2 linked regions of the Astyanax mexicanus genome follow. The protein of the gene in region 1 purifies or fractionates together with the protein of each later gene. This does not show direct contact. Links are inferred from orthologs where the notes say so. Each region holds a gene or a part of one and is shown on either strand. Other genes may lie near its edges. The genes, in order: tyrosine-protein phosphatase non-receptor type 12 and pstpip2.

Region 1 (16,581 bases):
GAATCAAGGCTCGCATGTGTCTACCACATGTACGCATCACATGTACTATATATGTCCTATATGACCCATCCTCCTCTGTTCAGACAACTTATGTACATTCACATAGGTCTAATATTTACAGGAATAGTCACACCAGCAGTGGAAGCAGTTAGAAAATTCCTAATTAGAGATCAGATAAACTTGTAATCAGCAGTGATTTTGAATCGGTATTGGAATTAATTGTATTTGAATACACATAATAATCAATACAAATAATAATTTGTGACCCTTACATTTTCTCATATAAGATACATTAAAATTAGGTTAGAATGATTTACAAAATATAGGTGACAGCAAAAATTAACTTTTAGATAATTTTGATTCTTCATTTAATAAAGCACTTCACCACAAGTAGTATCCCCTATTTAATATGATACATCCGCTACCTTCTGTAATATAAGTGTTTTAAAGGCCAATGTATGGTAAATCAGACACACACTGATATGTTTAAAAATTCCAGCAGCAATGTGTCTGAGAGCATGTTGTGGGCACTAATGAAGGACTAGAAGGTGACCAACACAAACTGTGCAGCAACAGAACAGTGCTTCTGCCACTGACTTTACATCTATATCTTACAGGGTGCACACAGTGAGTGGACAAAGTGTTTAAAAACTCCAGCAGCACTGCCGTGTCTAATCTACTCGTCAAGCACAACACACACGAACACACCATCAATGCATCAATGCCACTGCAGTGCTAAAAATGATCCACCACCCAATTAATACCTGCTCTTTAGCCATCCGGGGTCCTGACCTGACCAACTGTACATACAACTAAAAATAGGCTTTTCCATTTTGTTTTAAATTAGTGCTGGGCAGCATACTGGTTCATTTGGTACACCGCGGGGGGAACTAGAACCGATATGCGTTTCTCTCATACCGCCACACCGTTAGAGGCCGCTGCGGAGCACCGTGCAGAACAGAACCATCAGAGAAGTCAAATGCTGGTCTAGCTTCAACCTGCCTAGAGAGAAATCAAAACACCTCCTGCTGCTATTTCTCACTGCATGAATGTTTCATTGCAGGAAAATAGAGCAGTAACTACAGCCTTTTAAATATATTAATATTGTAGGATGATTTGAATGTATTTTTTGACTGGAGACAAAAGGAAATTTTATGTCCATTTATAGTGTTCATGAAACTATGTAAAATATTTTTTATATTTTGTAAAGGCAGGTGCGTTAAACTTGGTGGCGTATCTCTTTTTAAGGCCTATTGTTTATATTCTTCAGCTGTTTTTCTGCTAATAAAGTCTGATTTCTTCATATATTGTGTAATTTTGTTGGACAAAGTAAACCCAATAGTATTAAAAGCCTTAAATTAAAGCCTTGGTGTTTTATATTTTATGTACTCCTAACAGTACAGTAACTCACAAACCTATATTAAAGCCCAGTCATGCAAAAATAATAACAAAAAAAAAAACAATACTGTGATATACCGTGAAAAATACAGTGATATGCATTTTTGGCCATACCACCCAGCAGTAGTTTAACTCATGAAGTCATGGTGAATTGGACAAGGATTGTGTTTGTGCTTAAACAAGGTTAGGTGAAACCAACTGTAACTTGACTGTCTTCAAAATAAATTACCATAACCCTGGGTTGGTTGGGTGGCAAACTGATACTAACCATGAAGCTGCACGAGGGATATAAAAACCCTCCTTATATGTTCAATAGCTCTCAAACCACATTTGTGTAATGTTTGACCTATCTGATCTCACTCACACACACAAACACTTTGTGGCACTTGCATAATGCCAAGTTACAAAACTGCTGTTTCGCAGTTGATCCTCTCAGAAAGGCAGAGAGAGGGCCTATCAGAGAGCAGTATCAATGCTGACAGTTGGCACTAATGCTGATTTTATACAGTGGCCCAAATCTTGCCATCTTAAGCAGCTTTGCTCTGTTCTAAAATCATTCAGAACCAGGCCAGCTCTGCTGCCAGACACTGGCCTGTCTAGCCCCAATTCACTACTGAGCTGGCATAACCCGCCGCTTTTAGAGGAGCAGACAGGGTGTTTCCAGCTCAGCACATGATGGAATTACAGAGGCGCAGTGGTGTCATATTGAAATGTTCCTGGTGTCAGTGTTTACAGTAAGCAGCTACATTCATGCCAGTCTCATCTGAAGTAAAAGCACATTCCAGACGTTAGAACAGATCTCATTATGTTTGGAAATAGGACAACAGTTCATTTCCCTGATCTTCTGCAGTCTGACAGCCTGAGGTCTCATTTAGGATGTAGTGACCATGGTGGCTAGGAGGAATTCTGAGCATTAGAAAGCAAGTTGAGCAGTGATAATTCGGACATTTATCTGTTCAGCAGAGCAGGGTACAAGTTCTTCAATAAACAAAACATCACACATTTCAGTTTAGTCCAAAGCTAAACTTAAAAAAAATAATAATATTCAATAATAATAATAATTTAAAAACTAGACTTATTTCAGCATCAATACTGCAGTTTAGATCACAACTAGGTTTAATCATACAATATTAATATACATGACCTCAGTCATTTCTGTTGACCTCAGTATTGGACATTATATTCAGCTGGTATGTGACTTTATGTATTAAAAAAATATATAATTTCTTTGTGTTTTTGAGGGTGTAGTTATTATGATGCTATGTTATTATTATACTATTGTAATTAAATTCTTTCTTACACAATATATTGTCCAAACAAAAATCGTGACAGGTCTATACCTGGTCTATCTATTCACTGATAGAGTCAATTATTCCAATATTAAGCTTAATCAACGTCCTGGAAACTGTCCCTCAGTGGTTTAAAATGACAGGTCTTTTTGGTCTGGACAATAATTTAATATCAAAACATATCACAATAGAAAAGTTCCATGATTCCATGATTTTATACACTTTTCTGATATTTTAAAATACATTATTTACAGCATGCGTTACTGACAGGGTTCCAGGGTTGGCAAACTTATTTTTCTTAACTTCATACTCATGGACATCCATTGTGGGCATTCTTGACTGTTTTTTTGTGATTTTGTATTGCCCAGATTGACTTCATAACTATACTGTAATATAAGAAATATACTGTGATAAAACATAGGCCTTAAACTTTTCCTGGCTTAAGATTTTTGGATAAAAAATGGTCTAAATTGCCACAGTATCATTTAGGAATAGGTATATTTAGGCATTCCGATAGTAAATGTGCTACTAGGATCAAAGTCTGGATTCTGGTAGTGAGGCATATGTGAGAAATGTGAGAAAATGTTAATTGGTAAACTGTCTGTAGTAAAGGCAGTGGTTCTTTATGGAACCATGAGACCTCAAAGAACCATTGGAAGGAGTTTTCTTTATGATGGAAGATGGCCTGGTTACTGTAAGGGTAAGTATGGCAGCCTGGACAAGCTCATTTCTAGCACTGCACACACCAGATGTAGGCTCAGATGTAAGTCAATTCCACCCCCTCCCCCAACTCATCCCCCAGGAGGAGCAGCAAGACACAAATGTGTGTGAACTCTGCCCTCTGGCTCTGTCTGTTACACACAATGCCTGCACGAGACCCCTGTCCACTCACAAAACAAACACACCAATTCTCAAAATAATAATTACAAATAAATACAAGTAAATACTGAACATGAAATTTGTACTCTACACTCTATTGCTCTAATGTTAAAGCCATGGCTATACTCACACCCTGCGGCTGAATCAGCAAACAAGGAGAATAACACAACAAAGCCAGACTGTTGTCGCACCCAAGCCCTCCACTGTCCAGCTGTCTGTGAATCAAAGCTGTCTCACTCCTTAAGAGGTCAGGACAGCGGGAAAGAAAAAGTGCTAAATGTATGAAGAGGGTGACACTGCTCTGTAAACCAGAGGGGGTCTATAGCATCGCTCAGTACAGACTAATAGCACTAATAAACTAATAACCCTGTACGACTCAGTTCCCTTCATGCTCAGAGGGACTATGAAGAGACTGCTGTAGAAGAAAGTGTGAAAACCCTCAAATAAAAATAAATTAAGTAGGCTCAGACACCCATTGCTGACACAGATGTGCAACGAAATTAACCTAGTCCCTTTAGAGAAGTAGAGAAGAGAAAATCAGTGGAGCAGTGTTCTCTAGAATAATGGTGCTCCATCCAGTAATTCTGGGATGTGTTTTTAGACATAGAGATGAGTTGGAGTGGCAATTCTGATCTCGTCACTGAATGCAACCAAATCCACACAGCTGTGCTCCAAAATTAAATAGAAAATCTTTTGTTACTCCAACAAAACAGTATACTCTTTTTAATAAACAATAAATGAGCAAGTGATCCAATACTTATTTCCATATACAGTAGTTTACTTCTCTCACTAACTCCTAAAGAATTTGTATCATTAAAACCTGAAATGTGCTCTTTATGGTAAAAGATGTATATTCAGGAAAAAATATGAAACGTACCAATCATTTTTCAGTAAAAAGAAGTCAAAATATGCAAACTTGGTCTTTTTACATAAGGACCTTTCATATAGAGCTAAGAAATGCAGCTAACATAAGAAGCAAATTACAGGATGCAACTAATGCATCCTTAGCCTTCGGTTATCCACAATTCTCTGGACATGAACCATGTAAAGAAATAAACAGAACCATGAAAACTGTGCAGAAATGGACGACACAAAGCCCCAAATTAATGAGGGATGTTGTGTAAATGTAATACCTGTTTTCAGTACAAAACCCCATATTAGAGTTGAAGTTATTAGAAGTTATAAATGGAAAATGTAAGATAAGAGTTCATCTAATGGCATCACTAAATGATTTTAAAAAGGCATCGCGGTCACTAAATAACCCACCCACCTCCCACTGCAAAATACTGCCCAGCTGCAACTGTGGAAAGCACATATTTATGGACTTTTTAAACAAACTATAAATACAGAAAGGAAGGCAACATAGTATAGTATGTGCAACAGCAACCTACAGGAAGTTACATTAAGTCAAATTTCACCAACAGATTCTTCCCCAAATGTACATTACAGGTCAGCATGTTAACTTCTCAAAAGAGAAAAACAGAGGCCTAACACACTTTCATATATCTGTTGACAACAGCAGCAATACCTTCGTAGGATACAGTAATCAGGACTATCTTGGTATTCTACAGGTTTCTGTATTTTGAATCAAGCAAATCTTAACAAAAAGACAATAATTTGGCTGGACAATAATTTATAATAATTTAACTTACTGCTCTGCAAAAAAATTAAGAGGCCACTTCAGTTTCTAAATCATTTTTTTCTAATTTTGCTAAATATAGGTATATGTCTGAGTAAAATGAATATTGTTGTTTTATTCTATAAACTAAAGACAACATTTCTCCCAAATTCCAAATATAAATATTGTTAGAGCATTTATTTGCGAAAAATGAGAAAAGAATGCAGTGTTTTCAGACCTCAAATAATGCAAAGAAAACAAGTAAGAGTTCTGAAATCAATATTTGGTGAAATAACCCGAACCTTAACCACAGTTTTCATTCATCCCAGGATGTTCTCCTCCACCAGTCTTACACACTGTTTTTGAATAACTTTATGCCACTCCAGGTGCAAAAATGCATGCAGTTCAGCTTGGTTGGATGGCTTGTGGTCATCCATCTTCCTCTTGATTATATTCAGGAGGTTTTCAATAAAAATCAAAGAAACACATCATTTTAAGTGGTCTCTTTTTGTATATACCACAATAAAAATATGTTAAAATTATATATTTTTGATTATAAAAAAGTGTTTACTGTCTAATGCAGTCCTAATAGGTTCTGGGTCCCTGATTGGACCCTAAGCCATTCTACAGTCATGTCATAGCTATTATATACCAATGTCCCAGTCATCATGCTTATTCTAAATGGGTCCCAGCATTATAGCCCACCTTAAGCTTGTGTGTGCAGTGCATCTCCCAAATGGGGCCCATGTGTAACCATTCATGGTCCAATCAGTCATCCATATGTGGGACCCACATGGACAAGACCATGGTCAAACTGTCTGGATCCCAGCTGGGATATCCCTATATTCCCCACATTAGTTATTATGACTTGTGTGACTACAGTCACAGTCTACAGTCATGATTATTACGCTAGTTGATTAGTACAGGCATTTAAAGTAGGGATTTGCTATATTGTATGGTACGCAATAATATTGCCAATATTATCACATCAGGGTACTACTTTTTTGCTGTTTTTAGCAAAAGAAAAATTCACACTGTTCTCATTTACCATTATATATCTACTATAGACAGATTATATCTGTCCAGTATAATTTATTTTACTTCAGTTTTGGATATGTGGAGATATTTGTAGTGCATTATTAGTATCACAACATTCTGAATCATTGATTTTCATTTTGTTGCAGTAGTGTATTCTTGAAATAATTTTGTAATTCGGTGTTTTGCCATGTTGCCAAAAGTGTCGTTATCGCGAAAATACTAAGAAATATCGTGATATTGTTTAAGGGCCATATCGTCCATACTTAAAGCAATTAAAACAAATGCCTTCCAACGTGACACACGTGTATAATGTTTCGGCTATCCCTGATGTTGACGTTATATTCTGGAATCAATAGTTTATCGTGTTTATTTCAGTGGTTTTCAGGGTTTTTTTTTCAGTGTTGGACTGAGTGAGAAACCCTCCTCTTCCTCTCTGTGCTTAAACGGCTCAGCTCCTTGCGCAACATCCGCGGAACTCCCTCATACCACCGCCGCCACCACCACGCTGGACCCCCATAAACCGCCCGTTTAGCTAACTAACTATCCCATTAACGTGTCCATATCTTCCGGAAAATACACATACGTGCTGACTTCTTTATAGAAGCTGTCTTCTGTTTTTTTTAAACAGAGCAGAAACAAGCCCGAGCCGCCCGCTGCTTCCCAGCGAACAGCGCTGGTTTTGGACAAAGACGCTGTTAACGTTAGCGGCTGCTGCTGCTAGCTTAGCTGTGTCCAAATGTTAGCCAGCAAACAAAAGTCTGTAACCGGGATTTTCACAGTGCAAATAAACCCTAAACATCAGAGATTTAGCTGGCAGTTTATACAGAAGGCAGACTAACATTTTAGCCAGACATTTAAACATGTTCTCTCCACAGTGTTGACAGTCAGTATTCACCTACATGACCCGCCCTGAACACGCCGAGAGAGAGAGTAGAGCAGTGTGGCAAAAAGAAGGCGTTCTAGACGTGAAAAGTGACAAGCGGGATAACTACCTATTCCCAGTCCTAACCCATCTTATAACCGTAAATTCAGAATATATGTAGTGCAGTTTCTTAATACCAGAAGCTCTCCATTCAGATATAGGTTAGTTAACTAGCTATCAGCTGTAAATATTCACTAGTATTAATATTAGAGGCTTTCACAGTGGCGTGTAACCATAGGTTACTACCTAACTAGCTTTATGTCTAATGTTTGGGAAAATACAGTAACTTACACATATAGCTAACTAGTTAGCTAACTACCCAACCTAGCTGTTAGCTAGCTAGGTTACAAATTTGTCGTACACGTTAAAGAGACGTTTTAAATAAAAGCTAACTAAATAACCCAGCTGGTATGTAGTTAAGAAAGGGATGTGACCCAACAGCACACTCACACTCATGTAGAAATCTCTCCCTCTGACCACATTTAGCTAGCTGCGGCTAACCGTCAGGAGAGAAACATCAATAAGGGTTTTTAACTACAAGTCGCAGCCTGTAAATTAAACCGTTCATAGAGGAACATTTACAGGGCTTTTACAGAAAAAGCTATGTTAAGTTAACTCTACAGCAGCTAAGTCGGCGTAGGCCGCAGCCGGTGTTCTGTCGAGCTGTGCTACCTTGTCAAACCGTGCTGCCCTGGTGTGTATATTTAACTGTAAAAATATAAAAGAAGCACCTTATTACAGCATGTTCTCAGTAAAAGTCCCAGTAGACATAGCTAGCTAGTATATATGGATAGCATAAATCACTATTATGGCAATGAGGGGTTATTAGAAACTGCTTTTGTTTATATAAATATATATATTTTTTTATAATAATAATTATAAGCTATTGAATAAATTATATTCGCTTCCATTTACACGTTTGTGTAATGACAGTGAGTCCAGGTTGTTTAATGCACAAAAAATGATTTATTATTTAAAAACGCGAGAAATAATGAAAAGGTGTAGGTCAGCGCATGCGCATTGCCTTTAGGAAGCACGTATCGATGGGTAGCATAACTGGACATAACACCGCGGAGCCTTCTAACTAACCCTAGCTAACTACAGGTCAGTACAGACTGTACAAAGCTTCAGCGCAGGGAACAGTAGTCTGGAGTGGGAGAGAGAGAGAGAAAAGGGGGCACTGTAAAAGCAGCTTCACACTGGTGGAGGACTGTTAGCTAAGCTAACCAGTTAACTAACTAGTTACCTAGGTAACTAACTAACTATTAAACCAGCAGAGACAGAGTGCGATCGTGTGTGTTAATTATGTATTAACTAGGTTATTTATTGTGTTAGTGTGGCTGGTCTCGGTCTCTCCTCTTGTTCCTCCTCTTTCTTCTTACCATGAAGTCGCTGCCGAAGTTGTCCTCTCCTCCCTGGTCCCCTGTTCGCATGGCCTGAACCCCCTGAATGAACTTCCTCAGGATATTCGCCTGCTCCATCCTCAACTCCGGTCCCTGAGCGCTGCTGCTCCCACGGTTAGTTAGATACGTTAACTACTCCCGAATACGAAAAAAATATAGAAAAATAAATTAAATAAATATCTTAAAGAAGAAAAATCTTCTCTGACAGTTATTCCAACATCTTCTACCGCTCCATGCTCCCCTGTGCTCCCGGATGAGAGAAAACAACATGTAATCCAAGCGGGTGAGCTAAGCTACAGTCTTAGGGTGTAGGTAACAATGTCCCCACTCCTCCTTTAACGCACCAAGCAGTTAATATTAATACTTTTTAAATGTATCTAAATAAAAAAACAACAAACAAAACGCCGGTTCGCCCCTCCCTGTCTCCTCACTGCCACATTAACAACTAAACTCTGAAACAAAACTGGCTGGACCGCCCAAAAGCCGCTCGGACACGTTGCCACCCTCTAGTGGGAAGGACGCTCCGTGATTGGATTGTGACCCACGGCAGCTTGCGCCTGATTGGACAGCCCCGGTGTCAATCAAACTAACGCGAACGCTTCGAGTCGCTGGCTGTAAAAGAGAAGGCTGGTGGTCACGTGCTCAGTTGAGTAAGTTTACCATTGGTTGAAAGCCCGTAAGCCCCTCCCACGCAGATTCCAGTCGCGTTTCGCTCGGGTCCGCCCACCGCTAGGGTGACGTGTGGATAATCGAGAAACAGAAAAATGTGTGTGTCTGTGTAGAACAGGAATGTCGATTCCCAGAACCAGGTCGTGTTTACAGTATTAACACCATTGATCTGTCAGATATAACGGGGCTTGTTCTGCCTTTTACTTGTGTCTGAGTGAGCTGAGGGAGCTGTTCAGTGTTCAGAACAGCACTGTCTTCAGGCTAATTCTCACAGAGAGGAGGAGGGAGCATTTCACAAAGCAGGGTTTAAGATTGTTTAGCTCAGGGGTGTCACACGGTACACAACAGTGCGGTTCAGTAGGAGTTCGGGGAGTTTTACTAACTCAACATGATCAAAACTTGGTTTATTTATGTGTATTATGTACCTCTTTTTTCAGGCACCAAATAGTTTAAGCTAAGCTGGGCTAAATACATACAATACATACAGCAGACAAACCTAGTTGCAAAAAATATTTTCACGTAGGTTCCCCCGGACCTGGACTTGGACACCCCCTTCCCCCCTTGTGATATATATCACATTAACTCACTTCAACATGCCTTTTGCAATTATTTAGTCCCCCGAGAGTATTGCTAAAATCACTATTACTATTATCTGTACAGCAGGCAAGACTTTTATTGTTTTTTACTTTTACCAAACATGGATATACTTTAGAGTAGTCAGAGGTGAAATGAGTTTTGATGGGAGCCATAATGATCCTGAACACGCCAACACTAAAAAACGATTGGCCAATCAGAACACTCTATGTTTTGCATGCGCTTCATAAATATTCACACAAGGGGAACACCTTTCTCTGCCTCTATTTCACATACGCAATCTTTTTTTAAACTTCATTTGTAAACATTAAATTGTTATATAATATGCATATACATATATCATTTATTTAAAGACATTAAACATTAAACAAGGTCAAATTGACCCCAAAGATAATGAAGGACTAATGCAGGTAGGTCATTTCAGCTACTTTCATGCCAAAACACCCTCCCTGTATTAACTTTTAATTCATATGTTATTCTCTTTATAATAAAAAAAGCATGATGACCCTTGTCTGTTCTGTACTTGTCTTTAGAATTGACACTCTGTGTTGTTTTTGTAGCATATTACATTGAATAAACATTCTTTTAAAGTTGATGATGGAAAACAACCTTTATTTAGCATTGCCTAATAGGCATTAATAATTGAATCATTTCATTCATTTAAAGGTTTTTAATGTTAGGGTTCTCAATCTACACTCATGATGCTTTTAGGTGAAAGTTTCTACCCACAAATAACAATATTACTATTAATAATTATCATGTAAATGTTATTTCTACACTGCAAGACCACAGTACAGGCTATAAGAATAGAATACAAACAATCTTTTGTTGCTGACCAGTGAAAAACATCTTCAAAAAAGAATCTTCTTCACTTTCAATGGAAGTCAATGTAAAAAGAGTAAATTTCAGGTGATTTTGGAGAATATATATATAAAAAAAACAACTAGACCATTTAGAACTGTTGAATACAACTAGCTCTGCGTTATCACAAGGCTGTTTTATGTCCTATATGAAAGTCTATATTAATTCCAAAAAATATATTCAGAAATGGAGTCTGTACAGATAATTGTACATTGTGTACACATGCTATACATTTATTAGCACTCTTTGTATAAAATGTACAGCATAAAATACTGTATGTGAAAAGAGCTTGAAACTATGTGTTTTACAGGAAATGCTGCAGATGGTGTACAATAATGTATTTGTATTTTACACTATTCAGTGCTTTCAGTTCCTGTTAAGTAACTGCTAAGTAAAACTGATTTAATATACTTCTGTCTGATTAGACATACACAGCAAGTTTAACTAATCCTGTCGAACTCTGATGCACTGTTTTTATTATATACGCTAAATAAAGTTATTACACTATACATTATAGAAAAATCCTTTGCTTTTCTCCCATTCTAACGAAAATATTAACTCTCTAAAAGAGTCTCTGGCCTGGTTTTATAGGAAATGCAGTGAATTCAAAGCTCTGAAGTGAATCATCACCACACGAGAGCTAAATGGAACCTTATTCATCAGTAATTCCCCTCGGCCTCAGACGGCCAAGATCCCCTTAAGTAGAGCTGATGCTTAAACTGGACTCAATAAGGAACCAGAAACAGCGCTCCTGGTTCCCCTGGCTCCGTCAATGACAACAAAACGCCCCATTCAGGCTGGTTTGTGGGGGCACGCTGGACCCAAGCTGTCAAAGAGCCAGCTGCCCCTCCACAGTGTCGGGCAAAAGCACTGGGCTCTCACAGTACCAAAAGAGTGGGCATTAGAATTCAGACGGTGGACTATGAACACCTCAGACTCCAGACTTTGAGGAATTTCTCCTTTACACTTTTTTCTTTTTCTTTTTGTCCTCATTAATTCTGTTCACATAGTTTCTAGATTAACAGCAGTGACAAGTTACAGTATGTCAACTGTACCCACTGGCTGGGCTCAGACATTTGGTACAGTTTACCTGTAAAACCATGCAGGGGAACAATTACTGACAGCAATCCTCATCAACTCCACAATCAGTAGATGTGATTCAGTGCTCTTACATGTGCCATGTTGCTGATCTGGAAACCAGTTGTGTTACCAGAATCCAATACTTTGGTGGATTTATGAATATGCATGGACAGCTAGAACAAGGTGAAACACTGCACGATATACTGTATATGACCTTTAAGATACTGCATCTCATGTACCAATATTACACTAGAAGTGATTAGCCTACTATGAACTAGAACACTTAAAACTGGCCTTTGGTTGCTTAATTGGTAAATTATGGAGAGAAATTAGTGCCAAATTGGAAGATTACATTATATTTCACTGCACTTGATCTCTTTATTGAAAATTTACCATACGCAAAAAAATTGTGTCAGAATTGCAACCAAACCTTAATATGCAATCAGATTAATGCCATTGTATTTCACAGTGTGGCGCTGCAAATGTTCGAAAGCAAATCACAATGCACAGGATTGCATTTCGTCTAGGAGCAGCATGGTATTCATGCCAAAACATAATGTAATCACTGTCCCACTATCAGAACTATCAGAATCCACTACTGAAATTGGGGTGGGACTGAGAAACTGAGAGTGTTTATTTGCTCTTATATCCTGTCGCAAAAGACATTTTCTCTGGTTTAAAGTACAGCTATTAGTGCTCCCTTCTGACTGTTTTCCCAGCCCCACCCCAAGTTCAGTAGTGGGTTCTGATTGGACCATGATTACATTTCATTTTGGCACAAATTCTGCACTGCTCCAAGACAACAATCCTGTGCGTTGTGAGCTGGTTATGAAAATGTAAATTCTTGTGTATTGTTTTTTTTATAAAGAGATGCAGTAAAATGTAATGTAACAGAGGTTTTGCAGTTCATTTTGGTACGTATTCTGCATGTTAGTGAACTGCATTTACATTTTTCCATGATAGTGCTTGCTTTTTTAATTTGACACTAATAACTCTTAAAAGAAAATGACCCCTGAACCTTGTGTTTCCAATCTACTGGACTGTGTGATAACACCGGCCAGAAAATGTGTACAGTTACCTGTTCCCCACTGCCAATAATATTTAATGTACAAAATAAATCTGTATATAAATATTTAGATTGCAGTTAACTAAAAAATAAAAAGAGGACTATAAGTTACAGTACAATAGTTTAATAGAAATTTGTTTAACGGTGTTACCATTTGTTGTACTTTTTTCTGAGATTCTTATCTAAAATTTTATATATTGTATATCAGCATCATCCTCAGTATGTTACAGTAAAGATAAACTAAATATTGACTAAATAAGTTTTTATTTTTACAGATAACTTCAACAGATATCATCCAAAAGTGACATGGTGGCTTATAGCAATACTACGGGCTTTTAGAATCACTGTGTCGACGAGTAACCCTCAGGCTGAAACCAGCACTGAGATGCAGCTGACACAATATGCTTGAACCTCTCTCTTTCTCTCTCTGTCTCTCTCTCTCTTTTTCTCTCTGTCTCTGTTTTCTCTCTCTCTCTCTCTCTCTCTCTGAGAAGGAGAAAGAGCAGAGCTGCTTTCACAGTTCAACAGAAACAGGTCAAGCAGTAAGAGCTACAAAGTTAAGCACACAGGCCCCGATCCCCTCACACACACACACACACACACACACACCAACACAAGGCCTAGCCAGCCTGATCCAGCACACACTCGAGTTTGATTTACACATGTTTGGAAGACTTTGGGATGTTGGAGGGAGGCTGACATGTTTGGACACTTCTGAAATGCCTGGATTTCACCAACTTAAAACTTCTGCAGTGTACGTACATGCACACACACACACACACACACACACACACACACACACACACACACACACACATACACACACTTTTTTTTTTTCCCCAACAACATCAAGCCTGTTCTACTGGCAGCTAGCATAGTTCTATGTAGAACCGTCACAACAAAGACCTGCCTGATTTCTTGTCTGATTAACAAAGGTGTGAAAAGTAATGACATTTATTAGTCAGGCAGAAGTAAAAACAAAAATTGGGTTTTAAAAGTAGTTTTGTAGAAGTTTATAACAGAAATGTATATTTTTATACTTCTCATCCAACCACAATCAGATTCAATTTATCTGGATGGAGAGGTTTATCATTATCGATGATAAGCCATAGTAAAAACAAGCTGAAATGAAATATGAGTGACAAAGCTATTTTTAAAATGTAAGGAGTAGAAAGTATAAATAACCTTGTGAAAAAGTACAAAGTCGTCTTGAAAACAATTAGTTCAGTAAAGTATAGATAACCAAAACAAGACGAGAAATATAATTCTATAACTGAAAGAGAAAGAAGCATGTGAACTGAGGAGGTAAAGTATTATTACAGGTTTTTGCAAAGTGCAATTAGCAAAATACCAAGCCCAGAGTAGCAATCAGTGGAGCATCACTGTGATTTTGAAGTTCCTAAAATCTTTTTAAGGTTGCAGTCCATATTATTTTGTTTCTAAACAGAAAGCAGAAGCATTTCTAAATGAAGAAGGGATAAAATATTGTGTTTATCAGTGTACTGGAACCGCCATCCCTGCTAAGCCTAATATATTCAGTCTAAGAACTGGGGTGTGGGGTCACTTTTCGTGGGAGTTCTTCTCGCCACGTCCTGCGTCTTTACGTACTCACGTCACACGTACAGCCTCTAAAAGAGGATCCGGCTCAGTTTTACTGAATGTGAGAGGCTGGTGGAGCAATGGAGACTTCAGAAGAGGAAACTTAGAGCTCAGTAGCTCATTCACTCATAGTAAAAACAAAAGAAAGAAAGGAATGAAGTTTCTGACTGAGCTCTCTCTCTCTCTCTGACTGAACATAACCTGGAATCAGATTCATCTGCTTTGAAAGGAGAACGCATCACACCCGCCCAGTTTAAAACAATTCTACCGCATGCTCGGTGCAATTACCCATTCTCACCAGAGAGGGCCCTAAATCCCCCAAATCCAAAAACGTACGTGCATTAACTTTAATATAATAATGTTTATATAAAGCTTTAATGCTGATTTTTGCTATATGTGAAAAATAAAGCATTTTGTCACAAATTTTATAAACATGCATGTTGAAAAATGATTAGGTGCCACTCATTAAGCAGCCAAAGTTTTGGACTGAACTGAAATCTGGATTTCATGAATCGTTGCACCTCTACAAGTCAAGTAACATTTAAAAACCTTTATTTTTAAGAGTCTGTTATGCTAAAATGAAAGTCCTGGTCATGCTGAAGTATGATTTGTGGTTATAATCACAGGTCTGAAAAGAGAAATATAATTCAATTAGGGTTTCTTGTCAAAACATCTATTACCACAGGCAAGAGAAAGTTCACATTTGAAACATGAATGTTCTGTGTGTGTGTGTGTGTGTGTGTGTGTGCGTGTGCGCATGCTGATGACAGAATTCTGTACCACAGTGATGTGGGGTAGGCCAGTCTGTTGCCCATTTAGCAGGGTGACTAACAGTGCACCACCCATCATCTAATTCAAGCACACACACACCGACCCAACCCTGCTGTATGAGCATGTGTGTGTGTATGTGTGTGTGTGTGAGACAGAGAGAGAAGGAGGAGGGGTATTATGCACTGTCTGCTCTGTTCATGTAGTTATTTCTTTCAGGAAGAGCATGTCAGAGCTCAAATACCTCACATTTTAATGATAATGCAATAAAACATACAAACAATAATCTTCTTGTCCGCCTCCCTTTTTCATCAAAGAAGCATGAAGAACCGATAACAGTAGAATTCTTGTGATACTGCTTGTGTGAGTGGACTGTACTAAAATTGAATTATTGTAATGAGATATAATCTTTTATCATACAGGAGGTTTCAACTCTTGAGGAACTCTTGAGGAACACAGGAAGCTGAGGACTACAAACTATCAACAATATGCTGGAGTAGAGTACTGTCACTGCAGTGTATGATACACTGTATGTGTAGAATTGTGTGTAACAATGTCAGAAAGAAAGATTATAAGTTGTGTTAACAATTGTTATGAAGTTATGAATAGATAAAGATATTTTTTTCATATTGAAATCATCATTAGATTTACATACATACAGTACATCTGTGCGTTGTTTTGTTGGTCTGTCTGACAACTTTATGATAAAGTTGACACTAACAAATACACACGCACACGCATACATAAACCCAAACACACACACACACACACTCAATTTTATTATTATATACACACACCTGCATCGGCCACCTAACCCCACTCATCAGTTATTAATTAATGTAATTTAAATTCTGTCATTTGTAAAGGTTGAATTGTTTTTTATTATTGGTTTTTGATCTATTTATTAAAACAGGGATGAGAGGGTTCAAAAATAACATAAAACTAAGCTTTATGTACTAGCTTATTTATGATGAAGGGGTACAAACATAGTGTTTTAAAACAAAATAATCCAACATTCAAACAAAAGAAACAAAGGAGTGAAGATTCTGACTGAGCGCTCTCTGTCTCTCTCTCTCTGACTGATATATATATATATGTATATATATATATATATATATATATATATATATATATATATATATATATATATATATATATATATATATATATATCCATCTCAACAACTGAAATGTTGAAAAACCTTTTATTGAATGTTTTAAGTATCAAAAGTATAAACAAAGTAGTTGAGAATGGTTTGGATTTAAAAGCTTTATTCCAGAAAAACATACTGAGTAAGAATTATTCACAGTGTTAATAAATAGAACCATTAGTCCTTAAAAAATAGTTTTATGTAAAACATTATTTTAAAAATCAATTAATGGTGAAGTGGTACAAAC
Region 2 (16,933 bases), on another chromosome or scaffold:
ATATATACATACAGCATTTTTTTCTTATTATAAACTAATCTGCTTGCTATCTCATTATTTTGAGAGAGCAAGTCATTATTTTTGCGATACTAAGTCATTATTTTAATATAGCAAGTCATTATTTTAAGATACTAAATCATTATTTTAAGATACTTAGTTATTATTTTGAGATATTAAGTCATTATTTTGAGATGCTAAGTCATTATTTTGATATACTAAGTTATAATTTTGAATTACTAGTTCATTATTTTGAGAAATAATGACTTACTATCACAAAAAATGAAATATTATCTCAAAATAATGAGATAGTATCTCAAAATAATGACTTAATATCTTAAAATAATGAGATAGTATAACCAAATAATGACTTAATATCTCAGAATATTGACTTAGTATCTTAAAATAATTACTTACTATCTCAAAATAATGAGATAGTATAACCAAATAATTACTTAATATCTCAGAATATTGACTTAGTATCTTAAAATAATTACTTACTATCTCAAAATAATGAGATGGCAGCTTACCTAATAATAATAAACAAAATACGGTGTTTTTTTTGGGGGGGGGGGAATCTCTGGTTCGAATCCTGGTAATGCAGCTTGCCATCAGCTGCTGGAGCCCTGAGAGAGCACAATTCTCCTTGCTCTCTCTCTCTGGGTGGGTACAGTAGATGGTGCTTTTTCCCCTCATCACTCCTAGGGTGATGTTGATTAGCACAAGGCTGCGTCTGTGAGCTGATGTATCAGAACCGAGTCGCTGCGCTTTTCTCCGAGCATTAGCGCTGTGATGCTCCTCGGTAAAGCTGCATCAGCAGCAGCAGTTTAAAAAGAGGCGGAGTCTGACTTCACATGTGTCAGTTTCCTCTGTTGAAAAGCGTTGGATACATCCAGATAGCTGCGCCGTTAAAATAGCAATCCGCCAAAGTCAGAGCTCACCTGGCTCTTAAAGAGAATGATGAGCAAGTGACACGCTGATTGATTTATTTCACATAATGCCAAAAACTAACCACACCTATGATTAATTAAGATAATTAGTACATGCCTTTTGCTCGTTTCGAGTCACGCAAGGTGTACTTTTCCAGTCGTTACAATAGCAAAGACACACTGATACCCTAAATTAAGCCGCACGGTACTTGTGTTTTGTACAGTATGCTGTGTTGCTTCATATATGAAGTTCCATGGGGAAATCTCCCTGCTGACACCGACCGCATAATTCAGCCTTAATCTGCAGCTCAGCTGCTTTCACTTTCTCCATCACCAGAACCAGCAGATCTCAGACGCACTGACCGCCCTGACCTCAAAACGCTCCCCGATTACACAAGTCTTACAAAACATATACTTACATAATATAACAAAACACGCTACACACTTCATATCATGGGAAACTGCAATTACTTCATTTTTGTTTAAGCAATAATAATGATGACAATAATAAAGTGTAATTAAATTTCACTTTTCTTACATTCAGAGCTAAATAAAGTAGTTTATTACAGTTTTCCTTTATGGTTTTAAATTCAGTGTCATCTGTAACGAGACACCAGATATATCTTCTGGGATAGCCTAAAAACACTTAGAAACAACATGGCAACCACCTGGGATAACACATAAACCACATAGCTACACCAGAACAAGCACCTAGCAACAATATGGCAACCACCTGGGATAACACATCAGCTGCATAGCTACACCAGAGCAAGCACCTAGCAACAACATGGCAACCACCTGGGATAACCCATCAACCACAAAGCAACAACATGTCAACCACCTGAGATAGCATACCAATCACATAGCACCACCAGAAAAAATCACCTAGCAACAACATGGCACCCACCTGTGATGGAATATCAACCACTAGAAACAACATGGAAACCACCTGGAACAATGTACCAACCACATAGCAACCCCAGAGCAATCACCTAGCAACAACATGGCGACCATGTGGGATTACACACCAGCCACATAGCAACACCAGAGCAATTATCTAGCAATGACATGGCAACCCCCTGGAATATCATACCGACCACATAGCAACAACATGGTAACCATCTAAGATAGCATTCCAACCACACAGCAACAACATGGTAACCATCTGAGATAGCATATCAACCACATAGCAACTCCAGGTAAATCACCTAGCAACAACATGGTAACAACAAGCGATAACAAACCAACCACTTAACAAACCAAGAGCAATCATCCAGCAACAACATGGCAACCACCTGGAATAACATACCAACCACATAGCAACACAAGAGCAATTATTTAGCAACAACATGGCAACTATCTGGAATATCATATCTACCAGAAATCAACCTCAATGCAATCATCTAGCAACGGCATGGCAACCACCTGGGATACCATACCAACCACATAGAAACAACATGGCAACCACTTGAGATAGCATACCAACTACTGAGCAACAACATGGCAACAACCTAGAATAACATACCAACCACATAGCAACACCAGAGCAATTATATAGCAACGACATGGCAACCACCTGGAATATCATACCGACCACACAGCAACAACATGGTAACCATCTAAGAGAGCAACACCAGAGCAATCTTTTAGCAGAAGACGATAGAAGATTAATTATAAGCAGAAGTGACATGACACTTTTACCTTTTTTAGAGACTCGTGACTAAAGACTTGACACTTGACTTGGGCGTGCAAAAAAAGACTTCATGTAAATATCTCTTCCTCAAACTGAGAGAAAACTGATAGAGACCGCGAGCCAGACCTTCTTCTCCAACATCAGGGTCTGACATCACAAACGCACTTCTATGAGAGTGATCAAAATTTCCCATAAACACATAAACACACTCCTAGACCTTGTGGAAAGCCTTTTTAGAAAAGCTGAATCTGTTATAGCTGTAATAGGTGGACCACCATCCTATTAAACCCTATAGATGAACTTTTTGAACTTTTTTTGTTTTGGTGTGTTTATTTTTCGTTTTTGTTGTCAGTTCCTCTTTCAGGTTTTATAACACAGTAATTATATCAGACAGACACATGTCCTGATCTCTTTTACTCCAGAAGACATACGGCTGCTCAAAAATATAATCATTTAAAATGTAAAAGGAAGCAGAATTGTTATATTTTCCTGGAACTGATCATGTTTTGGTCAAAATTTAACCAAGCGCTTGTTTTTTTTTTGTTTTTTTTACTTATTTTTGAATGTATAGACTTTAAATATATTCACACCTAAGATATCTTTTAAAAATGGTTAGACTAGAGTGTTTATGAGTTGAAAGCATAAGAATATTGATGATAGTTAATTGCATGGCTTATTAATTATTACTTTGACAAAATACATGGAGAAACAGCATCAGGCGGAGTTATTCTTCTTGATAATCACACCTCTAGGATACATATAGATACTAAAAACCTGACACTCAGAGCAGCCTGTGCCTTTCAGTATTTTTTTTTTTTTTTTTTTTTTTTTTTTTTTTTTTCTTCTTTATTTAACCAGGCAGATCATTAAGAACAAGTTCTTATTTACAGTGATGGCCTGACATAAAACACAAATAAGTAACACTTAAAAAAAAAACAACAAACAAAAACATAAAAACAGGATAAGAAAAAACATTAAAAACCATTAAATCAGCAGGCATCCTCAGCATTTTGAGGATCAGGACACACAAAGAAAACTACTGTATATACAAAAATGTAAACTTTTTAGTCCAAATAAATAAAAATGATTAGTGCAAAATAACTACTTAGTAAAATAAAAGCTATATAAAGTAGTGTCACATCTAGCTTTAGTTTGGGTAAAGCAGGTAGTTTCACACTTTTTCTGTGGGACACTTTTGAGTCTTTATTTACTGATATTATTTGGTTTGAAACATCATATAAATATGTTTGAAGCACTAAAGGTAAATAATATTGGTTGGGGGACGGAGATCTCACTTTTTTAAATGTTTTTCTCAATGGGTTTCTTGTAGATACTTTACCGCACTGCATCACTATTTTTAAAAAGATTAATTCCACCCTTTCTAACCATATATGGATTATGTTTAAGTGTGAAGAGATTCCTGAGTAATTAAGCTGAGAACACAAGGTGCGATTTTGGACGGAAAATACGTCTGCAGGGTTCTAAAGGTTAAGAATAGGATGTCACTCAAGTTCATATGCATGCAAAGGCATTCGAGCGAATATTTTTGGCAGTTTTATCTACATAGTCTACGTAATTTTGGCTACTCTTGCTGTTTGTTGTGACACCAGAGGAAACAATACCTAAAATAATTTATAGGTGAGAAAGAGGACATCCTGTGCTAAGACTGGCCATTTGAATATGCTTTTTTTCTCTTTAAAGACGAGCGAGAGATGACTGTATTTCCCTAAAAGCGCTTTCTGAAAGTGCTGGGGTGCAGAACTGAGCCAACTTAAAGGTCATCACGTTTATAATACAGTTAAAAATTAGTTTTAAACAGGAACACTCCGCAAATTCGACTTTTAATTCCTCCAAACTCACTCTAAAATAAGTCACATAATTAAGACTAAGGTTCTCAATGTTCTCCATACCAGGTTCAAAAATGTTTCACATCTACCTTGTTTAGTCCAAACCAAAATAGCAGATGTGAAAGGTGCTGCAAACCACAGCCCAGATAAAAAAATCGCATTTTCAACTTCTAATTAGAGTTATTCGTAGTCTGGATATTTCCTGTTATAGCTGAATTCACACTTTTAATCCCAGAAAAACGCACTTTTTTACCTTTTAAAAAGCCATTTAAATGGCTGATTAAAGGGCTGATTACTGTTGTTTTGCTCTTTTTCTCAGGTTTTGAGTGCTCAGCGCAGATTTTTCCCTATACTGTGCAGCCCTAATTATGTATCTACTGTAACTGTAGATTAGTGAATTTTTCGCACTATGCGGTGAACCAGATTATAAGGTACACTATCAATAAACGTCTATTTTCTGGTCTATTTTTATGCATACAATTTACTAATATAATTCATAATAATTAGCCCTGATTTAGTAAACCTTTGGAACTGCAGTGGTAAATGCTCATTTTTTACATGATTATTGATTGATGACTATTAATGATGCTGGTTCTCACCTGGCTTTCATGAAGTCCTCGATCTCTTTGCACGTCTTTTTCCCATCGTTCAGGTGCTGGATGATGGCGTCGTATCCTGCTGTGCTGGTGATTTCACTGCTCTGTCCACATAAGGAAGAAAATAAAGATATTTTTAGTGAACTTTGGACTCAAACTCCTTTTACAAACACGGCAGATCATTAATAATCAATACATCAGCACATACTGCCATACTGACACACCATTAAAGGGTCCTTAGCCTATATTTTTTTCTCAATTGTATGTATTTTATACCACAAGGTCCACTTTTAACACATTTTCTAATGTGTTTTACGAACTAAAAATATTTTAAATCATAGATTTAAAGAGCCAATATCCTAAATGTCCTAGGTGTTGGTGTTTTTATGGGTTTATAAACTAAAAAAACACTCATTTATCCTTTGTGAAACAGTCCTTGTAACTTCAGTTAAGTGGGCGGAGCTAAATTGTATGGGTAAGAGTAAGGGCCCTATGAGTAACCCAAGACCAGCCTCCCAATATGTTAAAATTGGAAGAGATCAAAATACTCCAAACCACAGATAAGATTATAATTTTAAAAACATATTTTACATCACTGATAAAATCTAATATAACATCATTAACAGTTTGTAGCATTAGACTAGCATTTGGCTATAAAATGCACAGAACGTGATTATTCGGCTTCTTATTCTGGCTACTGCACTTGCGCATATCTCCTCACTGAGGAGGTGCTTACTAGCATACAGACTGATCTCCAGTCGCAGAGTAAGCAGCAAGCAGATTGGCTCTTTTTGTTGAAAGGCGGGACTTTATCCTTGGGTTAAGCCATACGAGAACTCCTAGTAATATTTCAGCCAGTGGTTGGTCCTTTAATTCATTTTATGCATTGGTCCTTTAATTGCTTTTGCTCTTGCTTTCCTGGAGCAGTCCTGATGAGTGCCAGTTTCATCATTATAACATTTTTCATGATCTTTGTGGCAACTGCACTTGAAGATACTTTCTAAGTTAAAATTTGACATGTTTTTGGATTGACTGACCTTACAGGAACTCCTTGTAATATATTTTAACCAGTGGTTACTTATATAATTCATGTTGCCTTTACAGCTCACTCACAAGATAACTCCACACAACGTATATACAAAACATGTGCTGAAACACTCCTTACAACTTAAGCATCATATAACAGCATTAGTGAGTAGGTACGTGAGGCTAAACTGAGTATGTGGATACAGTTATTACACTGTTTTTTGGGTTTTTGTTGCCTTATAAAAAATATGCATTAAAGTTTAAAAAATATCCATACATCCATATGAATTGAGCATATTTTTTAAACAACATTACACTCATTAATGTTTAGACAAAGCAAGGAATTTTGCTTTTAATAGGCCCTTACTAAGTAAATAATTCACAATATCCTCCCAGACACAGCGGCCCGCTAGATTAGGTGTTAAATTACTACAGCGCTGTGGAAATAGCCACTGTACAGCAGTCTAAACACTACAGTTTAGCCAAGTTCTCCTACTCCAGCCTGTAGGTTTGGCTATCATTATCCACAGCAGCTTCTAGCAGCGCTGTAATTCATGCCTGCAGCCAGACACATAATCACAGGCCTGCAGCCACAGCCAGCATTAGCCATGTGTCAAAATAAAGGTTTAGACAGACTAATAGCACTTTCCAAAACATTAGAAAGCAACATAATGAAGCCTGGACTGTCTGAGCTTTAGACCAAACTTAACTCCACTGACTTGCACTTTTAATAAAAAAATGTTTAAGGAATTTTAATATTATTATAGTTACTAATAATCAATTTCAGATCTTCTCACAGGTCATGTGAGCTGTTAATTTGTTGTTAAGAATAGTATTTAATTCCAAGATACATTAAATAGTTTGACAGTTAGTTCATTAGTTAATTAAGCTTTTTATTATAGATTATAACGGTAAAACTGGAACTAATTAGTTAGTAGTTGTATCTAAACTAGTAGTAGTATCTAAACTACCTGTTATGATAATTCATTTCTGATCTTCTCACAGGTCATGTCAGCTGATAATTTGCTGTTAAGAATAGTATTCAATTACAAGATACATTTATTAGTTAGACAGTCAGTTAATTAGTTAATTAAGGTATTTTTAATAGATTCTAATGGTGGAACTGGCACTAATTAGTTAGCTAGCTAAGTTATCCGTTACTAATAATCCATTTGAAGTTCCTCCAAGAAGTCAATTCATTCAAAGAACAAGAACAACTTACAAGATTGTTTAGAAACGTTTTGAAAAGGTTTCAAGACAAATAAACTGTAAAAATACAGAGATAATGTTCCAAAAAATGTTCTAAATGCTTGACATAATAATAGTAATCCCAGCTGGTCGAATGCTAACTTTAAGGAAACGTTAAAAGTAAAAACGTTAAAAGTGATGTTACCAGAACATTTAAACACATAAAAAATCTAAGAACATCCAGAAAACTTGACAGATTTACTATAACATTCTAAGAATGTTAGCTAACTGCATTGTTCAGAAAACGTTCTACTGACCAACAATTAATAGCTTACATACATACATTAATTAGTTAGAAAGTTAATTACACTGTTTGTTATAGATTTTAACGGTGGAACTGGCACTAATAAGTTAGGCTAGCATGTCCTAAAATAAGCTAAGCTAACCGTCTTGAAGGATTTTTTTTTAGCCAACAATGATATTTTACTGGGACATGAAGGACCTAAACTTAAGCCTAAACTTTACATGTTTAAACTACTGTAAGTATGGAGACAATATGAGAAATATTACATAAAATTACTGTAAATTATTGTCAATTACTGCTAAACAAGCAGCAGCAAGTGTCTTCAGTCCTTTGAAAATAGAATAAAACAGTATAAATATTATTTGTGATGTCACTGATGTCAAAGGTTAGTTTCTTAAAGGGGCAGGGTTATTCCTACACTGTAAAAAAAAAACTGTAGTTTTTACAGGAAAACGCTGGCAGCTGTGGTTACCAGAGTTTTCCTGTTAAAATTACAGACGATAAGTAAATAACTCTACTGAAAAAAAATGTAAATTAATTTACAGTGATTGAAATCACTGCTAAATTACAATAATAATCTGTCAAGTTTACACAAATTAAATGTTAATTTTGCATAGCAGTGTTCTACATAAAAATACCCTTTCCTGTATTTTTTACCTCTAACAAATGTCTGATGACAGGATGGACAGAGAATTCTTGGACATAGAGGCGTAAATAGCTTGATGTTTTTGAGATCAGAGCTAAATGAATAATAATTGAAACGCCAAAATTCAATGATCTTAAAAGTGAAAGTTATTATTATTCCTCTATATGTGTAAAAACAATGTTTTAGTTTCTGATGCTGGTAACTCTGATAAATTTATCCTGTGCAACAGAGGGAACTCTTGCTCTTGCTTTCCTGGGGTGGTCCCCATTATTATTATCATTATAAGTATTTTTATGGTCTTTGCTGGAACTGCACAAAATTTGAAACGTTTTGGCTTTGAAATTGACTAACTTCTTTCTTAATTCTTTAATTATTTCTTTAATTCTGCTTCTCATAATCTGGATTAGAACATTACTCAAATAGAGCTATTCACTGTATACCTGTAACTCCACCTCTTCACAACTTTACAACTGATGCTCTCAAACACTTTATTAAGAGACAAGAAATTCAAGGAATTATCTCTTGATGAGTTCAGCACAGCTGTTAACTGAAAGCCTGAATTCCAGTTGACTCTACCTCATAAAACTGACTGAGAAAATCCAGCAGAGATGTGCAAAACTGTCTCTATCTAAGCAAGAGGTGCTACTTTTTGAAGAATGTAAAATATTCAACATATTCTGGTTTGGTTACCACTTTTTAATTTGTATACTAATTAATTTCATATGTTTTTTTCAATAGTTTGAAAGCAGAACATTTTTAAATAATAAAAAAATAATAACTGGTTTCATATATACATTAAAAAACAACCACCTCTTTTGTGAAATAAGATTATGACAGTTGGTTTGAGGAAAGCGACCACAAAAAGGTTTTGCTGTTATGTATAGGGAGGAAGTTCCCTTGAAAAACAGCTCTATACTGTGAAAAGCAGAAAAAACTGTAGATAAAAGTTCTCAGATTATAATAAAGTGGATATATCTATTACTAATTAAGTATATATAAGTATTTTAATAATATGCCGAGGTTCCTCTAAGATACAGGCAGCCTGTTTAACTAGTTTACAGCACTGTATGTTGATTATATTAAATAATAAAGAGGTTGTAAGCAGTAAATAGTGAGTAAATGGTGGATAAAGTTCTTACCCAGAAGTTGTCTTTAAAGTGAAGGTCTCTCATGGTGCTGGAGCCGGTAGATGTGAGCTGTGTGAGAGGCTGGAGCAGACTGCTGGACTGACTACTGCTGCTCCTGCTGCTACTGTTACACGTTATACAGAAGTTAATGTGGCCTCAGGTGGCGCTGTTTCTCACTTCTGACTGTACGCTGCTGCACCTTTCCACCACCTGCTGGCTGAAGTCTGCCAATGCAGCTCATACTAAGGGTGTGTCTCAAACTGAGGCCTAGTGCCCTACCTAGTGCACTTCAGTCTGGGGCAATTTTTTCCCAAGTGTGGCCATATGATAATCTGGAACTGTTTTGGAGGAAAGACCAAAAGATAGATCTCAATTTGGCATATTTTTTTTTTGCACACAGCCTGGCTTAAAAAAAATTGTCACCAAAAAAAAAGTCACACACTCTAGTACAGGGGTGTCGAAACTACGGCCCGCGGGCCATTTGCGGCCCGTTTCCTTTTTTGGAGCGGCCCGAGAGGTATTTTAGAAATAGAATGAAAGTTGGCCCGCTGTTAAGCAGGTTTTTATAATGTGAGATTCAAAGTTTGAACGCTAGGTGTCAGAAATGGGCCAAAGAGTCTAAAAGCGGAGAGAGTGCACATTTCTAGCGCAGAAAAACGGGGCAAAGAGTCTAAAAGCGGAGAGGGAGCGCATTTCTAGCGCAGAAAAACGGGCCAAAGAGTCTAAAAGCGGAGAGGGTGCGCATTTCTAGCGCAGAAAAACGGGCCAAAGAGTCTAAAAGCGGCCCCCTCTGGCCCCCCAAAAAAAAGTTTGGACACCCCTGGTCTAGTATTTGGTTGGAGTGCCTTTAAGCTTTGATTGCTGCACACATTTACTGTGGGCAGGGGCGGATTTGGAAGTTCTGGGGCCCTAAGCAATGTTTTTTTTTTTTTTCCGGGACCCTGATCAAATGGATTCTTTTGTATAGCAAAATACAATATTCATGGTTCATACACCCTTTACAATGTAAAATTTAAGCATTTTCAAGGCCCATTTTAAGTTTTTCCAGCACCTTTCAGCTGTGGTAAATTAATGATAACAGCGATATCTCAAAACTGCGATTCAGCGATAATAAATATATCACAAAACTATTCCCCACCCTTCACAGTGACTATGCCACTGAGAAACAAGATACTTCTAAGTAAGTAAATAGCAGGAATTATGGATTTACTGGTGTCAGTTCCCCACAATTTAAATACCAATGAGCATTTATACATACATATACTCAAAATTATTGATTTGCTTTTTGTCACACTGCAAGAGATGGTATTATGTTTACAGTCATATGAAAAAGTTTGGGCACCCCTATTAATCTTAATCATTTTTAGTTGTAAAAATTTGGGTGTTTGCAACAGCCATTTCAGTTTGATATATCTAATAACTGATGGACACAGTAATATTTCAGGATTAAAATGAAGTTTATTGTACTAACAGAAAATGTGCAATATGCATTAAACCAAAATTTGACCGGTGCAAAAGTATGGGCACCCTTATCATTTTATTGGTTTGAATACTCCTAACTACTTTTTACTGACTTACTGAAGCACAAAATTGGTTTGGTAACCTCATTGAGTTTTTAACTTCATAGCCAGGTGTATCCAATCATGAGAAAAGGTATTTAAGGTGACCAATTGCAAGTTGTTCTCCTATTTGAATCTCCTCTGAAGAGTGGCATCATGGGCTCATCAAAACAACTCTCAAATGATCTAAAAACAAAGATTGTTCAACATAGTTGTTCAGGGGAAGGATACAAAAAGCTGTCTCAGAGATTTAACCTGTCAGTTTCCACTGTGAGGAACATAGTAAGGAAATGGAATTATTAGTAGTTTCTTAAAATAGTATAATTTAAAAAAACTACCTGAAGAAAGTGTGAAGGGAACAAAGATTGATTTGGGACACACCCAAAACTTTCCCTTACTCTAATTCAGTAAGTACACAAACACTGAAGCACTGGTGATTATTTTTAACTTTCCATCAACTTTATTGTAAAAAGTGAACACAGGCTATTCCCCCCACCCCCACCCCCCACAAACACACTCATCCACAAAATCATTACGGAGTTATGAGGACCGCGGTCAGTAGAAAAGAAAAGGAACAGTAAACTCAACACAGCGATCGGCCTAATCTAAAACACAGGTACAGATCAGTTCTAGAACTCTCCATGGATTATTATTAATCTGTTTTATATAAAACGTGGGTAAAGCGCGGAGCGGGAATGAATAGATCAGACAGCGGCGTCGGCTCCCGGAGTGTTTATGTTCTCCTCACGGCTTCATCGATATCATCAATCTGCTCCTTCAGCTGATTCCACTGCTCTGGGTTCAGGGAAATACCTGAGAACAGACAGACACACAGACAGATCCAACAAATTACTATAATACTGGGACAGCTGCTCGATCACTAGTACTTCTGAAATCAAAGGGTATTAAAAAGAGTTTATCCTGCATTTGTTGGGAAACTCTAGAGAAACTCTAATACAGGGTTTTTAAACTGGTCTTAGTCCAGGACCCATATTTTCTTATAATTATTACAGAATTTAAACAAACATATGCATGCAAAGTGAATTTAAGAGCATTTTTAGGAAATGAAGGAACATGAAAACTACATGTATAAAAGATCAAATAAAATTAAATATCAAAACTGCACAAAATTCCCCAATATAAAAGACGAGTACAAAATCTGATGAGCATTAAATGTTTAGCATTTTTAATGTTTTTTTTAATGCATTTATTTTGGTACCACTTTAAAATAAGACTACCTTTATAAAGGGTGTATAAATGGTTTACAATTAATTTATTAATGGTTACTAATTAGGTTGTAAATACCTTAAAAATCATTATTAATCAGTTATAACACATACGTAGAAAGGGCAACATTGAAGATGGCTGTGGGTTCACTTTTTGGCAAACAACAGGTCATTGTTGCCCTTTCTACGTATATGTGTTATAACTGATTATTAAGGATTTTTAAGGCATTTGCAACCTAATTAGTAAATATTAATAAACTAATTCTAAACCATTTATAAACCCTATAAAGGTAGTCTTATTTTAAAGTGGTACCCTTATTTTTTAAATGCTTTTGGACAACAGGATAAGACTCACTTCAGGGTCTCTTACAGACCTGTTTGACCACCAGAGGTCGCTCTTGGGTAAGTCTAAAAATAAATGGGTTCATATGGCACAATGGAGCAACATTTTTACAGTTTATAAATGTTTAATAATTTTAAACTAAAATATTGTACTCATCCCTCAACACAGAACAAAATAAAAGGTTTCTAAAATTCTTAAAGCTTTAAAACTCCTAGTAATAAAGCTTTTAAAATCCGTGCTCTGATTGTAACTCCAGCATCAGCTCACCAACCAGCCAATCAGCTCACAGTAGCAGTAGTACAGTGTCTTTAGTGCTTAAAGGCCAATTTATACATCTGAACAGCCCACACATTCTAGTCTTCGTGGTTTAAACTGAGGAAGCAGACAGCTACGTAGGGCGCTCACACAGGCTACACCTTAGGCAGCAAGTTAACTTAGTGATGAAGAATAAATTGGCCTTACTGAAGAAAAACTTACACATAAATACTTACATACAGTTAAGTTTTTTAGGCTTTTTTTATTAATTATTTCTACTTTTCTAGGTTATTTATACTTTCAAATTGTCCTCCAATTTAGCTAGGTCAATTTTCCCACCATTCAGCTGCTATTCAGCTGTATCTACCCATTAATAGTGATGCCACAACACCAGGAGGGTGAACACATGTGAAGTCAGACTCCGCCTCTTTTTAAACTGCTGCTTATTTCAGCATTACCGAGTAGCATCATCACAGCGCTAATGCTCTGAGGAAAGCGCAGCGACTCAGTTCTGATACATCAGCTCACAGACGCTTGTGCTTTGTGCTGATCCACATCACCCTAGGAGTGATGAGGAGAAAGAGCTCCATCTACTATGCCCACCAAGAGAGAGAGCAAGAACAATTGTGCTCTCTCAAGGATCCAGCAGCTTATGGCAAGTTGCATGACTGGGATTCAAACCGGCGATCTCCCGATCATAATGGCAGCGCTTTAGACCGCTAGACCACTTTAGGCTATTTTAAGCAAAATACTTAATTCTCCTTTCCAAATAAAAGAAACATCCTCGACAGGTGGTTAGTAAAGAGTAACAGGTCAGATACCTTTCCTCCCCGGCTTCATTTCTCCTTCCTGATCCATCCAGTACTCACGGATATCAATCAGCACCTTCCCTTTGAAGTCTCGGACACTCACGTATCTCATCTTCCCTATCTTAGAGAAAATAGACAAGTGTGACAGGACCAGTTTTATATTTTAGCTGTTAATGATGATGATGATAATAATAACTAAGGAATATTCATTATTTCTGATTCGAACTTCATTAAAAGAAGCAGAGAAACTGTGTAAAAATTAGGGACTATAAACTCTGTATTGTTTTATTCTGTTTTTTTTTTTATTCTTAATATATTTTTTGTTTTATTTATTTATTTATTTTCTGTTTAAATTTAATTATTTAAATATATGGGGGGTCTCTGTCATCACCTATGATTATACAGTACCAGTTAAACATTTGGGCACTGCTTAATTTACTTTTAATTTTTTGCATTGCAAATTAATACTAAAGTCATCCAAACTATAAAGAAAAACATATACATTTTTTTATTAAAGCAAAAAAGTGTTAAATAAACCAGAATATGTTTTATATTTTACATTCTTTACATCTCTGCATTTTCTCAGTCAGCTTTATGCATCAGTTGTAAAGTTGTGAAGAGGCACAGTTAGTATACAGTGAATAGCTCTATTTAAGTAATGTTCTAAACATTTTAAGAACTTTAAAAGTGTTCTTAAGTACAGTCGCAGAGACCATCAAAAACGTTATAAGGATGAAACTGGCACTCATCAAGACCGCCCCTGGAAAGTAAGAGCAGGAAGTACCTCTGTTGTACAGGATAAGTTCATTAGAGTTACCAGCAAATTAACAGCTCCCCAGATAGTAGTATGGATGACTTTACTATTCATTTACTATGTAGGAAGAACAATAAAAAAAATTTAATAAGAAGATGTGTCCAAACTTTTGACTGACACTGTGTATCTAGTTTAATTTTGTTTAATTTTGCCTGAATCGAATCAGAAAATATCTATACTCTATTAGTCAAATTTAAACAAATAAAACAATTAAAATAAACAATTAAATAAGTAATCATTTAATTGTTTGACAGCTCTAGTAATTACAATTACAATATAACAGTAATGTAATGCAGTAATGAAGACTCCTGACCTGGAACATGTTGTCGTTTTTGCTGCCGCCGCTGCTTTTGGAGGAGCCGGAGGTTTTGGAGGACTCTCCACTCTTCTGCTTCTTGGAGGATTTCTCCGGCGTCGCCTGCCTCTTCCTCTTAGCCTGAAACCGATAAAACGAACAAACAACCAATCAGAAGTGATCAGATTATTGATCCACTGATGCTACAGATCATCAGCGACGTACCTTCGTATCGGCTTCACTGTCCGAGTCGCTGTTGGAGGAGGAGGACAGCACTTCCTTTGATTTAGGCATTTTCTGGAGAGACAAGATAATATAAACATCACTGTAAAACACTGTCAACCTGCTACATCCTCTCATCATCACCTACGTAGGGGCGGAGTCTCTTTATCCTTCACACTGATTGGTTTGTGAAACAAAGGTGTGCATCAGATTCTCTCTAAAACTTTACCAACCGAAAGACTTTACCATATACCAATGCACTGTTTGAAATGTAGTTATATAAGAGTTATTATAGTTATATACTGTTATATAGAGTTAATTACATGTAGACACTCCCACTGACTTTAGAATGACTTTATGTTTATTTGAGTTTATTAATTCTAATGTTATATAGAGATAGTTACAGGTAGAAACTCTCACTGACTTTACAATGACTATAATGATGTTTATTTGGCTTTAGCTTTTTTCTAATGTTATATAGATGTTTATCACAGGTAGACACTCTCACTGACCACTGACTTTATGTTTATTTGAGTTGTGTACTGTAATGTTATATAGAATTAATTACACATAGACATTACATTAGATACTCTCACTGACTTTCCACTGACTTTATGTTTATTTGGGTTAATAGATTCTAATGTTACATAGAGTTAATTAAAAGTAGACACTCTTACTGACTTCCCAATTACTTTATGTTTATTTGAGTTTAAATAATCTAATGTTATATAGAATTAATTACACATAGACACTCTCACTGACTTTCCACTGACTTTATGTGTATTTAGGTTTAGTATTATAATGTCATTTAGAGCTAATTACAGGTAGACACTCTCACTGATTTTACTGACTTTATGTTTATTTGGGTTTAGAAATTCTAATATTATATAGAGTTAATTACATGTAGACACTCTCACTGACTTTAAAAACTTTATGTTTATTTGAATTTATTAATTCTAATGTTATATAGAGATAGTTACAGGTGGACACTCTCACTGACTTTAAAATGACTTTGTGCTTATTTGGCTTTAGAAATTCTAATGTTATTTAGGGTTAATTACATTAGATACTCTCACTGACTTTCCACTGACTTTATGTTTATTTGGGTTAATAGATTCTAATGTTACATAGAGTTAATTAAAAGTAGACACTCTTACTGACTTCCCAATTACTTTATGTTTATTTGAGTTTAAATAATCTAATGTTATATAGAGTTAATTACATGTAGAAGCGCTCACTGACTTTCCACTGACTTTATGTGTATTTAGGTTTAGTATTATAATGTTATATAGAGTTAATTACAGGTAGATACTCTCACTGACTTTTTACTGACTTTATGTTTATTTGGGTTTAGAAATTCTATAGTTATATAGAGTTAATTACATGTAGACACTCTCACTGACTTTAGAATGACCTTATGTTTATTTGAGTTTACTAATTCTAATGTTATATAGAGTTAATTACAGGTAGACACTCACTGACTTTAGAATGACCTTATGTTTATTTGAGTTTATTAATTCTAATGTTATAGAGAGTTAATTACAGGTAGACACTCTCACTGACTTTATGTTTATTTGGGTTTATAAATTCTATTGTTATATATAGTTAATTACAGGTAGACACTCACTGATATTCCACTGAATTTATGTGTATTCTGGTTTAGTGTTCTAATGTAATATAGAGTTAATTACATGTAGATACTCTCACTGACCACTGACTTTATGTTTATTTGGGTTTTGTACTGTAATTTTATTTAGAGTTAATTACACGTAGACACTCTCACTGACTTTCCACTGAATTTATGTTTATTTGGCTTTATAAATTCAAATGTTATATAGAGTTAATTACAGGTACACACTCTCACTGATTTTTCATTGACTTTATGTTTATTTGAGTTTATAAATTGTAATATTATAGAGTTTATTACAGGTAGACACTCTCGCTGACTTCATGTTAATTTGATCTCATTAAAATGTTATATAAAGTAAATATGAGTGCATAACTGGTTTAACTGGTTATATGAATCTATAATTACAAAGACAGTTGTAATATTTCTG

What was found.
Region 2: the proteins of tyrosine-protein phosphatase non-receptor type 12 (region 1) and pstpip2 purify together in Homo sapiens (affinity purification with mass spectrometry; 4 studies listed by BioGRID and IntAct, counting the BioPlex papers as one, with this or other methods). This does not show direct contact. The link is inferred for Astyanax mexicanus from reciprocal best matches to the Homo sapiens genes PTPN12 and PSTPIP2.

The regions. Positions count from the first base shown.
Region 1 is NC_064409.1:36,012,519-36,029,099, reverse strand, and holds the start of tyrosine-protein phosphatase non-receptor type 12, read right to left. Parts: upstream 9,015-16,581; 5' UTR 8,626-9,014; coding exon 8,527-8,625; intron 1-8,526. UniProt on the Homo sapiens protein: Dephosphorylates a range of proteins, and thereby regulates cellular signaling cascades. Dephosphorylates cellular tyrosine kinases, such as ERBB2 and PTK2B/PYK2, and thereby regulates signaling via ERBB2 and PTK2B/PYK2.
Region 2 is NC_064427.1:20,966,461-20,983,393, forward strand, and holds the start of pstpip2 (proline-serine-threonine phosphatase-interacting protein 2), read right to left. Parts: upstream 9,481-16,933; 5' UTR 9,399-9,480; coding exon 9,366-9,398; intron 7,899-9,365; exon of another isoform or gene 7,857-7,898; intron 5,167-7,856; coding exon 5,066-5,166; intron 1-5,065. Other genes in the region: sub1a (SUB1 regulator of transcription a), read right to left, coding at 11,646-11,725, 13,558-13,666, 14,673-14,795, 14,880-14,948. UniProt on the Homo sapiens protein: Binds to F-actin. May be involved in regulation of the actin cytoskeleton.